Linked DNA regions of Astyanax mexicanus. The protein of the gene in region 1 purifies or fractionates together with the protein of each later gene. This does not show direct contact. Links are inferred from orthologs where the notes say so. Each region holds a gene or a part of one and is shown in the gene's direction. Other genes may lie near its edges. The genes, in order: protein BCCIP homolog and eif6.

Evidence for each region.
Region 2: the proteins of protein BCCIP homolog (region 1) and eif6 purify together in Homo sapiens (affinity purification with mass spectrometry; 3 studies listed by BioGRID and IntAct, counting the BioPlex papers as one, with this or other methods). This does not show direct contact. The link is inferred for Astyanax mexicanus from reciprocal best matches to the Homo sapiens genes BCCIP and EIF6.

What each region holds. Positions count from the first base shown.
Region 1 is NC_064422.1:13,962,689-13,969,784, reverse strand, and holds the start of protein BCCIP homolog, read left to right. Parts: upstream 1-4,080; 5' UTR 4,081-4,163; coding exon 4,164-4,286; intron 4,287-4,968; coding exon 4,969-5,043; intron 5,044-5,167; coding exon 5,168-5,248; intron 5,249-5,570; coding exon 5,571-5,657; intron 5,658-7,096. UniProt on the Homo sapiens protein: During interphase, required for microtubule organizing and anchoring activities. During mitosis, required for the organization and stabilization of the spindle pole.
Region 2 is NC_064412.1:44,150,867-44,158,453, forward strand, and holds the start of eif6 (eukaryotic translation initiation factor 6), read left to right. Parts: upstream 1-4,462; 5' UTR 4,463-4,549; intron 4,550-6,093; 5' UTR 6,094-6,141; coding exon 6,142-6,248; intron 6,249-7,466; coding exon 7,467-7,552; intron 7,553-7,587. UniProt on the Homo sapiens protein: Binds to the 60S ribosomal subunit and prevents its association with the 40S ribosomal subunit to form the 80S initiation complex in the cytoplasm. Behaves as a stimulatory translation initiation factor downstream insulin/growth factors.

The sequences.
Region 1 (7,096 bases):
ATTAAAAAAATCTGTCTGATATCACAGCTCAAATTTATATAGCCCTGATAGTACACCACTTGTATGTTTCACTCACTTAAAATCAGAACATTTTGATGTGTCATTTCAAAATAAAGGCCCTTTAAATTATGAAATGAAATATGAAATTGACCTGTGATATCACACAGATTCATTTTAATAACAGCCAAAACTTGTGTTAAAATAAAAATATTGTTATAATTTAAAAGGCCTTTATTTTGAAATGACATATCAAAATGTTCTGTTATTAAGTGAGTGACACATACAAGTAGTGTACTATCAGGACTATATGATATTGACCTGTGATATCAGACAGATTCCTTTTAATAACAGTCTAAACATTGTGTAAAATTACATAAACATTACAATTTAAAGAGCCTTTATTTTGAAATGACACATCAAAATGTTCTGATATTAAGTGAGTGAAACATACAAGTAGTGTACTATCAGGACTATATGAAATTGACCTGTGATAGACAGATTTCTTTTAATAACTGTCTAAACCTAGTGGTAAAATAAAAGATTGTTATAATTTAAAGGGCCCTTATTTTGAAATGACACATCAAAATGTTCTGATATTAAGTGAGTGACACATACAAGTAGTGTACTATCAGGACTATATGAAATTGAACTGTGATATCACACAGATTGTTTTTAATAACAGTCTAAACATTGTGTAAAATTACATAAATGTTACAATTTAAAGGGCCTTTATTTTGAAATGACATCAAAATGTTCTGTTATTAAGTGAGTGACACATACAAGTAGTGTACTATCAGGACTATACAAAATTGAACTGTGATATCACACAGATTTATTTTAAGAACAGTCTAAACATTGTGTAAAATTATATAAATGTTATAATTTAAAGGGCCTTTATTTTGAAATGACACATCAAAATGTTCTGATATTGAGTGATTGAAACATACAAGTAGTGTACTATCAGGACTATATGAAATTGACCTGTGATATCAGACAGATTTATTTTAATAACAGTCTAAACATTGTGTTGAAATAAAATATTGTTATAATTTAAAGGGCCTTTATTTTGAAATGACACATCAAAATGTTCTGATATTACGTGAGTGACACATACAAGTAGTGTACTATCAGGACTATCTGAAATTGAACTGTGATATCAGACAGATTTCTTTTAATAACAGTCTAAACATTGTGTAAAATTACATAAATGTTACAATTTAAATGGCCCTTATTTTGAAATGACACATCAAAATGTTCTGATATTAATTGAGTGAAACATACAAGTTGTGTACTATCAGGACTATATGAAATTGACCTGTGATATCAGACAGATTTATTTTAATAACAGTCTAAACATTGTGTTGAAATAAAATATTGTTATAATTTAAAGGGCCTTTATTTTGAAATGACGCATCAAAATGTTCTGATATTAATTGAGTGAAACATACAAGTAGTGTACTATCAGGACTATATGAAATTGACCTGTGATAGACAGATTTATTTTAATAACAGTCTAAACATTGTGTTGAAATAAAATATTGTTATAATTTAAAGGGCCTTTATTTTGAAATGACACATCAAAATGTTATGATTTTAAGTGAGTGACACATACAAGTAGTGTACTATCAGGACTATCTGAAATTGAACTGTGATATCAGACAGATTTCTTTTAATAACAGTCTAAACATTGTGTAAAATTACATAAATGTTACAATTTAAATGGCCCTTATTTTGAAATGACACATCAAAATGTTCTGATTTTAAGTGAGTGAAACATACAAGTGGTGTACTATCAGGGCTATATAAAATTGAGCTGTGATATCAGACAGATTCCTTTTAATAACAGTCTAAACATTGTTGAAATAAAATATTGTTATAATTTAAAGGGCCTTTATTTTGAAATGACACATCAAAATGTTATGATTTTAAGTGAGTGACACATACAAGTAGTGTACTATCAGGACTATCTGAAATTGAACTGTGATATCAGACAGATTTCTTTTAATAACAGTCTAAACATTGTGTAAAATTACATAAATGTTACAATTTAAATGGCCCTTATTTTGAAATGACACATCAAAATGTTCTGATTTTAAGTGAGTGAAACATACAAGTGGTGTACTATCAGGGCTATATAAAATTGAGCTGTGATATCAGACAGATTCCTTTTAATAACAGTCTAAACATTGTTGAAATAAAATATTGTTATAATTTAAAGGGCCTTTATTTTGAAATGACACATCAAAATGTTATGATTTTAAGTGAGTGACACATACAAGTAGTGTACTATCAGGACTATCTGAAATTGAACTGTGATATCAGACAGATTTCTTTTAATAACAGTCTAAACATTGTGTAAAATTACATAAATGTTACAATTTAAAGGGCCTTTATTTTGAAATGACACATTATAATGCCCTGCTATTAAGTGAGTGACACATACAAGTATTATTAGTAGTAGTAGTATTGTTAGTATTATTATTATTAGTATTATTATTATTTAATTAACATAATTGTTATAATTTACAGGGCTTTTATTTTGTGTACTACCAGGACTACATGAAATTGACATGTGATATCAGACATAACATGTGATATTATGTGGATTCCTTTTAATACCACTCCACAGCATAATGTCATGATATTTTGAAATGTGTTCCTTCTCACGCTTGCCGCAATGTTCAGTGTATGCGCGCTCTAAGAAACAGCGTGGGGGCTAGTTTGACCAAGCGTTTTGAAGTGGGGGCTGGCTTGACCGCAGTCTGACGCAGCGCGCGTCTTTAAAGGACACGGAACTTTCCTGAAGGTTCCGAATCTTTCTGAATCGATTCTGATCGGATTGGATTATCTATTTAACAGTGGAGCTGTGTTTTTTAATATATAAAGTCATATTGTTGAATATTATAGTTATAAAACAGCAACACACACCTTAATATAAAAAAATATATAATTTATAAGTCAAAGTCAAAAGTATAAGTCAAAAATCTGGACACACCATAAAGTCGTTTTAAAATTAAATAATTTAGTAATAAAGTGTTAAACAAACCAGAATATGTTTTATATTTTACATTCTTTAAAGTAGCTCCTCTTGTTTAGATGATCAGTTTTGAACATCTCTGCTGGATTTTCTCAGTCAGTTTTATGAGGTAGAGTCACCTGGAATTCAGGCTTTCAGTTAACAGCTGTGCTGAACTCTTGTGTCTTAATGTGTTTGAGAGCATCAGTTGTAATGTTCTAATCCAGATTATGAGAAGCAACAACTACCCATCAAGTAAAGACAAAAAAAAAATAACAATAAAAAATTAAGGTCAGCCAATTTAAGAACTTTAAAAGTATCCTCAAGTGCAGTTGCACTTGACCTTCAAAAACGTTATGATGAAACTGGCTCTCATCTGGACCGGCCCAGTAAAGGAAGAGCGAGAGTTTTCTCTGTTGTATAAGATTGTATAAGGTTTATCAGTGTTTCCAGCCTCAGAAACCACAGGTTACCAGCACAAGGCCCACACTTGTAAGTTGTGAGTGGTTATCTGGTGAGTGGGGTGAAACACTGGTCAGCATGCTCAGTTTGGAGTTGTTGAAGGTAAAGCTCTTTATTTCCTCCATTAATGCTGTTAAACTCAGAAACTCAGAACATTAAGTTACAATATTCATCTACAATATTCAAAATTACCCTGAGGTATTGTAATGAAAAATACACTATTCTATTATTTTTGTCTCCCTTCCAAAAACAGGAAAATATTAGAATTTAAACAAATATCAAGATTAATGTTGTGATTTGTATTTTTTTTTCAATGATTGACATCACGAATGTAAAAAATATTGAATTTGCAAACAGTGATTATTTTAGTCAAATGTAAATATTTTTTAAACGATTACTGTAATGTGTTCAAATACATAAACATAACATATATAAAATATATTATTGCATTAAAAAACAAAAGACTTTTATTTTGTATTTGCCTCCCTTCAATGGCAACCTTCAGTTCCTGAGCTGAGGAAAAGGCGGCCATGCAGGCTCTGTTTCCGCGGTTCGGCTCGGTATTACCGGGTTGGAGTAAGATCCGGAATGGCGAGCAGCCGCGCGCGGTTTCCTGCCCCTTTAAACCGCGTGTCCGCGGAGCGCGCGGTACTCCTCAGCGGGCTGGAGCTGCGCGAGTGGCGGCATGGCCTCATTTGCGAAGCGGCGCGCGGTAGGAGCGGGAGAGGAGCCGGAGGAGGAGCGGGATTCCGGGGAGAGCGGAGAGGAGGAGAGCGGGGAGTCGGAGGAGGAGGAGGAGATTAATGAGGTGAGGATTAATAAAGAGGAGCGAGTTCTCGGCCTGAGGTTCACCAGCTAAACTCAAGCTGTTCTTCCCCAAACTCTCCGCTCCACCTTAAATCTGCAGTTTTATAGGGGTTGCCGTCTGCATAGGCTCATTACTGTACGATTTAAGGTGGAATTTTGTGTTTTATGAGTAAGCAGCTTCTAACTGGTCAAACAATGCTTATCTCTGGTACAACAGAAAAAAGTCTAGTCTAGAAACTAGCTATGGATATTTGAAGTAACATCGAAGCACTGTTGTAAGTCGCTCTGGATAAAGGCGTCTGCTAAATACCTTAAATGTAAATGTTTCTTTGGTTAAAATGACTCTTTTAGTAAAAAAAAAAAGCTTGGTTCCTTTTATAAAGCAACAAAAAAAGTGTTATTGTTGTTATTAATAATAATAATAATAAATATAATAATAATCATAATCATAATAATAATTATTATTAATATTAATATTATTATTATTAATACAAATAATTAGATTGTCTGCATTGTTTCATATATGCACTGATATAAAACGTTATGAAACATTTCGCCCTTAACTCAGAGCCCCCTGACCCCTAACCTAGAGCCCTGTGAACCCTGACCCCTAACCTAGAGCCCTGTGAACCCTGACCCAGAGCACTTAGTGTTCCATTAACTTTCTTTTCTTCTGTTTTCAGGAGGTTGTTGTGGATTTTGAAGCTCACACTATATCTGATAACGATTTTAATGGGGTTAAGAAGTTGATGCAGCAGGTAACCCAAACGTAGTAACACAACCAGACGTTTATTTAATCTGGAATTAAAAGGAATATGGACCAAAGAAAATTTACTTGAGTGAATCGAGGATTACTGACTATTATTTATATATCTCCAACAGCTTTTCCTGAAGGCACATGTCAACACCTCTGAGCTGACAGACCTCATTATCCAGCAGAATCACATTGGCAGTGTGATCAGGGTGGGTGGACCTGGTATTTTGGGTTAATTATTATTATTTTTTTTTTATTAAATAGTATTAATAGTATAGGAGACAATACTTAACAGCTCTATATGGTGTAGAAAACTAATCATATGTTACATTTGAGTCAAAGGTACACTCATTCTGACACAATTAATATTAGTCTGAGTAACATTTATGTGTCAGATGTACAGTTAGGTCTGTTGGTGCTTGATGTTCTGTAAACCCCCAGCAGGTGGAGTAGTAAGCCAGGTTACCTGTGTGATCTCATCATGTGGGGAAATCAAAATTTTATACTGTGTTTTTTGTTTTCTGTTTTCAGCAAGCCGAGGTGCCGGACGACAGCGACGATGAGGATCCAGATGAGGTGTTTGGATTCATCAGCATCGTCAATCTGACGGAGAGGAAGGTAGAGCACCAGCCCTGAATATCACACACTTGAATAAATAATATATTAGTGCTATAGTGTTGCTAATTAATTGCTATGATCCCATAGTGCATAGGTCGGCAATAGGCGGCCCGCGGGCCAGATGCGGCCCGCAAGCAAGAAACATCTGGCCCGTGAGGTTGAACTATAACGAAAAAAAAAATCGGACTGTCCGTCTCAAAAATGCTCTTTATTTAGAAACTTAATTTTCCAAAACAGAAAAATTTATTAAAGATTTTTTGATAGAGCCACGGGCTGTTAGATAATCCGTGTATCATTCGTTCATTTGATATTCAATTGAGAATCAAAATCGGAAAATTAAAAAACCAATTCGTTTTTTCGTTTTTTCGTTTTTGAATATAATACCAAAAAACGAATAACGGCTTGTATTTTGTATTTTTATTTGGTTATCCAAACAAAAATTGGAAATTTAAAAAACGGACCAGGAGCCGAATTTGATTTTGATTTTGAACTTGACCCATTTGTGTGCCCCGGAAGTTACTGATTTGTTTATTCTTGGTGGGTTTCTGTTGCGCGGGAGTTCACTGCAGTGTTATCTACACAGTCTGTATTGCTGTAGGCTTTGGATGGAGTTGAGGATGGAGAGTTTTATCTTGTTCAGAGGAACTAAACGCGTTGCAGTGAAAGAAGACGATATGACAACAGAAAAAATCGGCAGGATCTTTCAGGTGTTTGTCTAACGTTCCGTAGCTAAATGTCATATTTAGTTAATGTTATTCTGTGAATTGCCGCCTACTAAATATGACATTTAGCTACGGAACGTTAGACAAACACCTGAAAGATCCTGCCGATTTTTTCTGTTGTCATATCGTCTTCTTTCACTGCAACGCGTTTAGTTCCTCTGAACAAGATAAAACTCTCCATCCTCAACGGCCCTCTCCAATTCTGTGTTCGATACATGTCTTTTTCGCTTAAGGTCGTGTTGAACACAGAACCTTCTAACACTTATTGCAGAACATCGCTGGATCCCCATTTGCTGCAACGTGCACGAAATCTCTTCATGCGTCTTACCACCTTCAAAAAGATCTTTAATTAGGCCAGAATGTGGTTCCAGTCCGGCCATGCTGCCTACAGCAATACAGACTGTGTAGATAACACTGCAGTGAACTCCCGCGCAACAGAAACCCACCAAGAATAAACAAATCAGTAACTTCCGGGGCACACAAATGGGTCAAGTTCAAAATCAAAATCAAATTCGGCTCCTGGTCCGTTTTTTAAATTTCCAATTTTTGTTTGGATAACCAAATAAAAATACAAAATACAAGCCGTTATTCGTTTTTTGTTATTATATTCAAAAACGAAAAAACGAAAAAACGAATTGGTTTTTTAATTTTCCGATTTTGATTCTCAATTGAATATCAAATGAACGAATGATACACGGATTTTAGATAACTGCTAGC
Region 2 (7,587 bases), on another chromosome or scaffold:
AAAAACATTTAAGGTACTAAAATATTATACATAGAAACACATATGTACATTACATAAGCAACATAAGAAAGATATAGAAAAGCTAACTGGCTAGATTTCTTGAGGAGACTGCGGTCCTTTAACATCTGTAAGAAGCTTCTGCAGATGTTCTACCAATCAATCGTGGCCAGCATTCTCTTCTACGCTGTGGTGTGCTGGGGAGGCAACATGAAGAGGAGAGATGCATCACGGCTGGACAAGCTGGTCAGGAGGGCCGGGGCAGTGGTTGGAATGGAGCTGGACTCTCTGGTTACAATAGCTGAGAGAAGGACTTTGGATAAACTGCTTTCTATCATGAACAATGATAGTCACCCACTTCACACCACCATCATGAAGCAGAGGAGTGTGTTCAGTGGCAGACTGCTGTCACAGAGCTGCACAACAGACAGACTCAGAAAATCCTTCATTCCGAGAGCCATCAGACTCTTTAACTCCTCCCATCGGGGACGGGATGCTGCTGACGACTGAGTTTAATCCAGGCACACCACTCGGACATTATTCAACAACTTAATTATTTATATTAACACTTCCCCAACCTCGCTTACATTAAAGTATACCTTACTCATGATTGGGTATTCACATTTTCACATCCTCTTTTTAGTCTTGTAACGTATGCATACTTATATTATATTATATTTCTATGTCACATCAGTCACTTTCGTAATCGATGTCATTGCACTTTACTCTGTTAATTATTTAATTATTTATGACCATTAGCAACATCTACTGCACTGCTCCGTTTACAGATAGATCCTTACCTTGTATAGTTAGTTTTTTTTTTTATATAGCCTTATATATTTTCTATTCTTCTGTGTTTTGATTTGTCTGAGTATGTTTCTTATTGTATTGTGTTGTTGCTGCTGGATGCCTAAATTTCCTTCGGGATAAATAAACTATCTATCTATCTATCTATCTATCTATCTATCTATCTATCTATCTATCTATCTATCCATCTATCCATCCATCCATCCATCCATCCATCTATCTAAAATAAATAGAAGCTACAGGCTTGTCTACATTGATACAGTATCCTAAATTTCAGAGGCCTGCTGCAAGGCCTAAATTACACTAGGTGAAGCTGTGATTTGAAGTAAAATTACTGTTACAATTAATAGTATTTTTATTGTATCAAAAAAAATAAATACTAATCTAAAAAGTTTATTAATTTCTCAAAATATTACAGGACTGAAATGGGGTGGTGATTTTAAAAAATAAATTGTCCATTAGATACAGATACAGTAAAAAATAATACAGTAAAAAATAAAATAAGCTTTTGCAGTTCTCAAATCTGTAAAGGTTGGGACAGTACGTACAATATAAATACAGTGGTATGAAAAAGTTCGGGCACTCCTGATTATTTTCATGATTTTCCTTTATAAATAATTGGTTGTTCTGCCACTTCAGGCTTCAACTAGAACTTTGCCTGTGGTCTTGCATTTACTAACTATGTTCCTTACAGTGGAAACTAACAGCTAAAATTTCTAAGACAGCTTATGCTGCCATTATATGACACTGCACTGACTTTGGACTTGATATAACACAGTGAATCAACACCAGCAGATGACATGTCTCTCCAAACCATCACTGACCATAGGTAAATTTTGCATTTCATTTAGAAATCAAATGAGTCTGGAGGAAGAGTGGAGAGGCACACTGTCCAAGCTGCTTGAGTTCTTGTGTGAAGTTTCTACAATCAGTGATTATTTGGAGAGCCAATTTATCTGCTAGTGTTGGTCCACTGTGTTAAGCCAAAATCAATAATAAATGAAACAAACGCTTAAAATAGATCACTCTGTGTGTAATACATCTTGTGTTTTACATTTTGAACTAAAGTACTGAAATAAAGTATCTTTTCAATGATATTCTATTTTTTTGAGCTGCACCTGTATTGCTCAACTGCTAAATATCTGCATCAGGTGCTTGAAGGATTCTTAGAGGGAGGATTTCACCCCTTCCTTGGGCCTAAGTGAACAGTCAGTGCTTACATTTGAGGTGTTAAATAAAAAATTGTCAGACATAAAAACCTGAGATCTTTTGACAATAACTAAACTGTGACAGTTAGGACAACTGGATCAGAACACCTTTAGAACAATAGGAATGGGCTTTCCCAAATGGCCAAACATGCTTTACACTCACTCACTCACTCTCACACTCTCTCTCTCTCCATGTTAAGATATTCTTAATTATGTTAAGAGGCTTTAGGGAAATTTGGCCCCAGGCAGGTCATTTAGGATGTTTCCAGGTTGCAGTGGTCAGTAGTACCTATCAAAAGTGCCCCAAATACTGAATAAAAGCTTCAGTGATGATCATTTAGGCCTCACCTCACAACAGGGTTAAATTATCTGCTAATAACATCTGAAGATTCCACAAGATGACTGAGCAGTGTACACTATCTTTCTGCTGTGCTGAGTGTGTTTAGTGTAGTCAGAGTGTAAATGGGTGAACATGGGACAGCAGCGCGCGCTGTGATTAAATCATTACCCGGCTCTAGACTCCAGGCCTCGAGCTCCAGCGGGTCTGTTGGTGTTTCCAGGCAGAAGCCGGAACGGCCGAGAGTCCGCGCGTGACGCGCAGCTACTGCAGTGACGTGCCTCAGCACCCAACCAATAAAAACGTCAAACAACACAGCCGTCACAACAGAAGCTCTGCCTGATTGGCTCACAAATCAGCCTGGTGGTAGCCCCGTTGCTATGCAGGCTGGTGGAGCAGAAAAGGGGAATATAAATAAAGGTAGCTTGGACAGCCTTCATAGATCCACTGCAGTTTAACTCTTTAGAGAATGGACTAATAAAAATACAACCAATAAAACAGGTTTATAAAATGAACAGAAACGTATTCTAACATTATTAAAATGACATTTGACATTTGGTAACTATGCATGTATATAAACTGTGATGGCCAGAAAAGTTTTTTATTACTTAAAAATATATTAATTTAATATCTAATTTCACATCAATCAGAACCTTTTGGCTGTTTTATATTGACTCGAGATTTTCTCGAGATTCCATGACAAAATGATAACATAAAAGCCATGTCTTTTTAAACATATAAATGTACTGAATATTGCAAATAATCATATGTTATTTGAAATGCAAGTAACCACATGGCATGTGGCATTATAATCCTGTGTCACATTTCTGCGTTTATATGCATGTTGTTGTTAAGACCCTAAACCAAACTTTTACAGATGTAATGTAGCTAATAAAATTGTATTACAATAAATTAAAAACAATTCAACATTTATTTTCATAGAATTTTCAAATGTTTTTGAAATGTATTTGAAATAAGCCACTGGCCCCCAGTAAATTACATGTATAAATGTGCTCACAAAATAACTTTATAGTTAATAGTATAGTGACTTGCACATTGACCAAAAGTAAGATATGTAATTAAAAACATTTATAAAAACTACTTAGAACACTGAAGAAATAGCATTTGTTACCTGTCCCTAACCTATCCTGTTACCTAACTTAATTCTTAAATCTTATTTGTTTATTGTTAATTTTGTGAAAATCACTAGAATGTGCTCAGTGTCCTCATGCTTTTATCATAGCTGCCTTGAACTATTTTTCAAATTTTACAAATTTTATGCTAAAAACAATTTCCTGTTAGATTCAATCATGTTACTCATAACATAAAAAGTAACAGGAATGAGTGCCAGTAACAGGAGTAAGTGCCAGGAACAAGAACGAGTTCCAGTAACATGAATGAGTATTGTCCCTTGGTTTATTGATTTATTATGGTACATTAGTTAATGTAAAAACCACTCTTTTCCAATTATACTTGGTTTATCATTTGTTTAATAAATTGTATAATAAATAAATTTGATCAATTTCAGGTTTGTGTCTTCTTGAAAAGATAAAAATGGCTTTGCATATTCTAGAAAAATACAATGTGCATGCATTTAAACTGATTTTTTTGTCATAAATATTAATTATTTTGGCATGCGGTCAACCATTTCTTCAAAATCAACACTTTCTTGAGAGGTAGTCTAAGGAATAAGTGGACTTGCTTTTAAACATGCTTTACCATCTTCGGACTAGAAATCTTGTGAAAAAAATAAGTTATGCCGTCTGAGATTAACCAGTACATGTTTTGATCAGTTAAATACGTGTTATTAGATTCAGAGTTTTGTAAAAAAAAAAAAAATTGTTTAATTTGGAAGAGTTACAACAAGCAAATGACACCCATTCTGTTTATGCTGCACGGAACTTTCACTGTCCGTAAACGCTAACTTTCAGCGGCACATTCATTAGCCTCCAATTATGTCTTGTATTTACTGTAAATATACTCCAAAAACATACTTGCAGCATTTTAAGTGCGTTAAGAGGAAATTTCACACAATACAAAGCAGCTACTACTACCTGCCCCCACAGCAACAGCGGCCCAGCTCTCCTGTCATCCAAGGCGGCGCGCGCACGTACAGAGATCCTGCGAGCTGACGTCAGCACGCCTTTAAGGAAGTGAACACGTGGGTCTTCTGAGTTCTCCGAGCTCCGCGCTGTTGTTGGTAATTTAACTTTTTTTCTGTTTTAGGCACAAATTCGGCGCCGCTTCGCCATGTTTTATTATAAAACTCGTAAATGATCCGAACAAGCGCGCCTGTTCGGCCGCTGTTCGACTACTAGTTTAACAACACCGTAATAATAACAGTTAGAGAACGCTAGCTAGGCTAACTGCGTGATGAGCTCGGCTCTGAAACCAGCAGCGGTCTTAATAATAATAATAACAATGTGGTTGTATAATATAATATTATAATGTAATATTATTAAGTATAATAAAGTGTTCTCTTGAGATTACTGAAGATTACAGTCTGTGGTTAGGTAAGACTAGTTCAGCAGGAAAGTTAAATACAGCTCAGAAATTCCGCTGTAACAGTCTGGGGTCTCTGAGTTGCTAAGCTTAATGTAACCCGAGACTATTTAAAATTACATTAAGTAATCAATCAGGTTAAAAAAAAAATCTGTGTGATATACGAGCACGTGTTCCTGTGATAATCCTCACTAGTAATCGTTAATATTGCTTCAAAGGAAGTATTACAGCGCCCTGTGATTTAATTGTTCTTCTATCATCTATCCTTTTCATCTGTTTGTTCCATTATACTGTAACGTCTTATTTTTGTATTTAGTCTCTTTAATTTTTCCCCCTACTATTTTTGGGGGGAATTAAATAATGGATAAATAAAGTATTTTTTATGACACAAATAAATAATAAATTTATTATTTATTATATTTATTATAGTAATGCCAATTAAATAAAAAATACATATTGTAAAATAAGTAATTGCACAAATGCTAACTTCTGACCTTATTTAAGAACACTCCACACTGCTATAAAGGTTATTGAAGAGCATACATGGGGAGATGGATAGCATGGTTAACATGTGACCAGCTTCTGAAGTTTAGTGAATTCCATCATTAGGAATATAAGGAATATGAGACATTAGATCTGCCATGAGTTACCATTGACCATGCATGGGAAAAGTAAAGAGTGAAAATGTATAGATGAGATGCTAAAGGGTCTACATAATACAGCAGTCAAAGCTTTATGGAAGAGCTACAAAGAGAAATCCACTGTTAAAGAAGCAGATATTAAGTTATAAACAAGTCAACCAGAAGACGGTTCTATGGTCTGATGACGTTAAAATAAAGCTTTGTGGCCTCCAGACCCAAAGTTATATTATGCAGACACAGAATACTGCACCTCACAACAAACACATCATGGGGAGATGGCTACAGGGTAAAATGAATGCAGCAAAATTTCTGAAAATCATGGCGGGCATTCCGAATAAGCCTGTACAGTAACAACAATAAGATCTGTTTTACAGAAAGACATTGACTTTGAAATTGTAGTGGCCGAGTCAAAATCCAGAACTTGGTTCAATACAGAATCGCTTCATGTTAAAGAAATAGTGCACTATATAGTATGTCAGCCATTTTGTAGTGCTGTTTGAAATCCTAACAGTACATTATCAAATTCAATTAAAATTCAGGTTCTTGTTTTAAATGTTGCCATAAATGCTGCTAATTGTACCAATCTGCTGCTGTTCCCCAGGTTCTGGCAGACTTGAAGACTGTATTACATCTTGAGCTTGAAGCAGACATGGCAGTTCGAGCTTCATTTGAGAAGAACAATGAAATTGGATGTTTCGCCAAACTCACCAACACATACTGCCTAGTCGCAATAGGTGGATCAGAAAACTTTTACAGGTGAGTTGTCTGTGGAAACTTAGACCCAAATATTCCAAATACAGCTCAGTAAGACTATTGGGGAAAATTACTGCAGTCCTTTTTCAAAAATTGTTACTCTTTTAAAATTGTGTTCATGTTGTGGGCATAAAAAAGTGAACATAAGTTTTAAAGTTAAATAATTAAATAAATGTCCAGCATTGTGTCTGGACTGGATGTTTTTATTTTTTTAAATATACTGTAAATGATTTAAAATAACAATAATACTTGGACAGTATTGTGACAGGCCAGAAAACAGTGTAGTGAAACCTGTAACAGCGTTAATCTAGAATAATAAAGCGGGTTATGATTCAAGGGGTATAGAGGAGTTACAATTTAATATTCTGTCAGCATCGCAACTGCGTTTTCGAAGGGTAAACATCCGAGTGCAGTGATGACCCAACAACAGCATCCAAAGAACTGCAGGCTTCACTTGCCTCAGTTAAGGTCAGTAATCATGACTCCACCATAAGAAAGTACAAATATATCTGGGGTAAGTCAGAAAAACATCATACCTACAGTAAAACATGGTGGTGCTTTGGCTCTGTTTTGCTGCTTCATGGCCTGGAAGACTTGCTGTGATGAATGGAATCATGAATTTCGCTTTATACCAAAAGATTCTGAAGGAGAATATCGACCATCTGTTCGTGACCTCAAGCTGAAACGAACTTGGGTTCTGCAGCAGGTTAATGATCCAAAACACACCAGCAAGTCCACCTCTGAATGGCTGAAGAAAAACAAAATGAAGGCTTTGGTGTGGCCTAGAATTCCTGACCTGAATCCGACTGAGATGCTGTGGCATGATCTTAAAAAGGCGGCTCATGCTCGAAAACTCTTCAGTGTTGGTGGAATTGTGTGAAGAAGAGTGGAGCAAAATTCCTCCACAGAGATGTGAAAGACTCGTTGCAAGTTACCGCAAAAGTTTGATTGCAGTTGTTGCTGCTAAGGGTGAAACAGCCAGTTATAAAGTTTAGGGGACAACACTTTTCACAAAGGTCTCCCTACTAATAAAAACCTTTAGTTAAAAAAACTGCAGTTTGTGTTTACTTGTGTTGTCTTTGACTGATATTTACATTTTTTTTAATGATCTGAAACATTTAAAAGTGACAAACAGATTTTTTTTCACACCACTGTATGATGAGAATTTCTCAACACACTTTGAAAATCTGACTTTTTTTTCTGAATTGTTTTTGTTCACAGTGTCTTTGAAGGTGAATTGTCAGAAACGATCCCAGTGGTCCATGCTTCCATTGCAGGATGCCGCATAATTGGTCGAATGTGTGTGGGTAAGTTTGTGGCAGTAATTGGTCAGCTGTACACA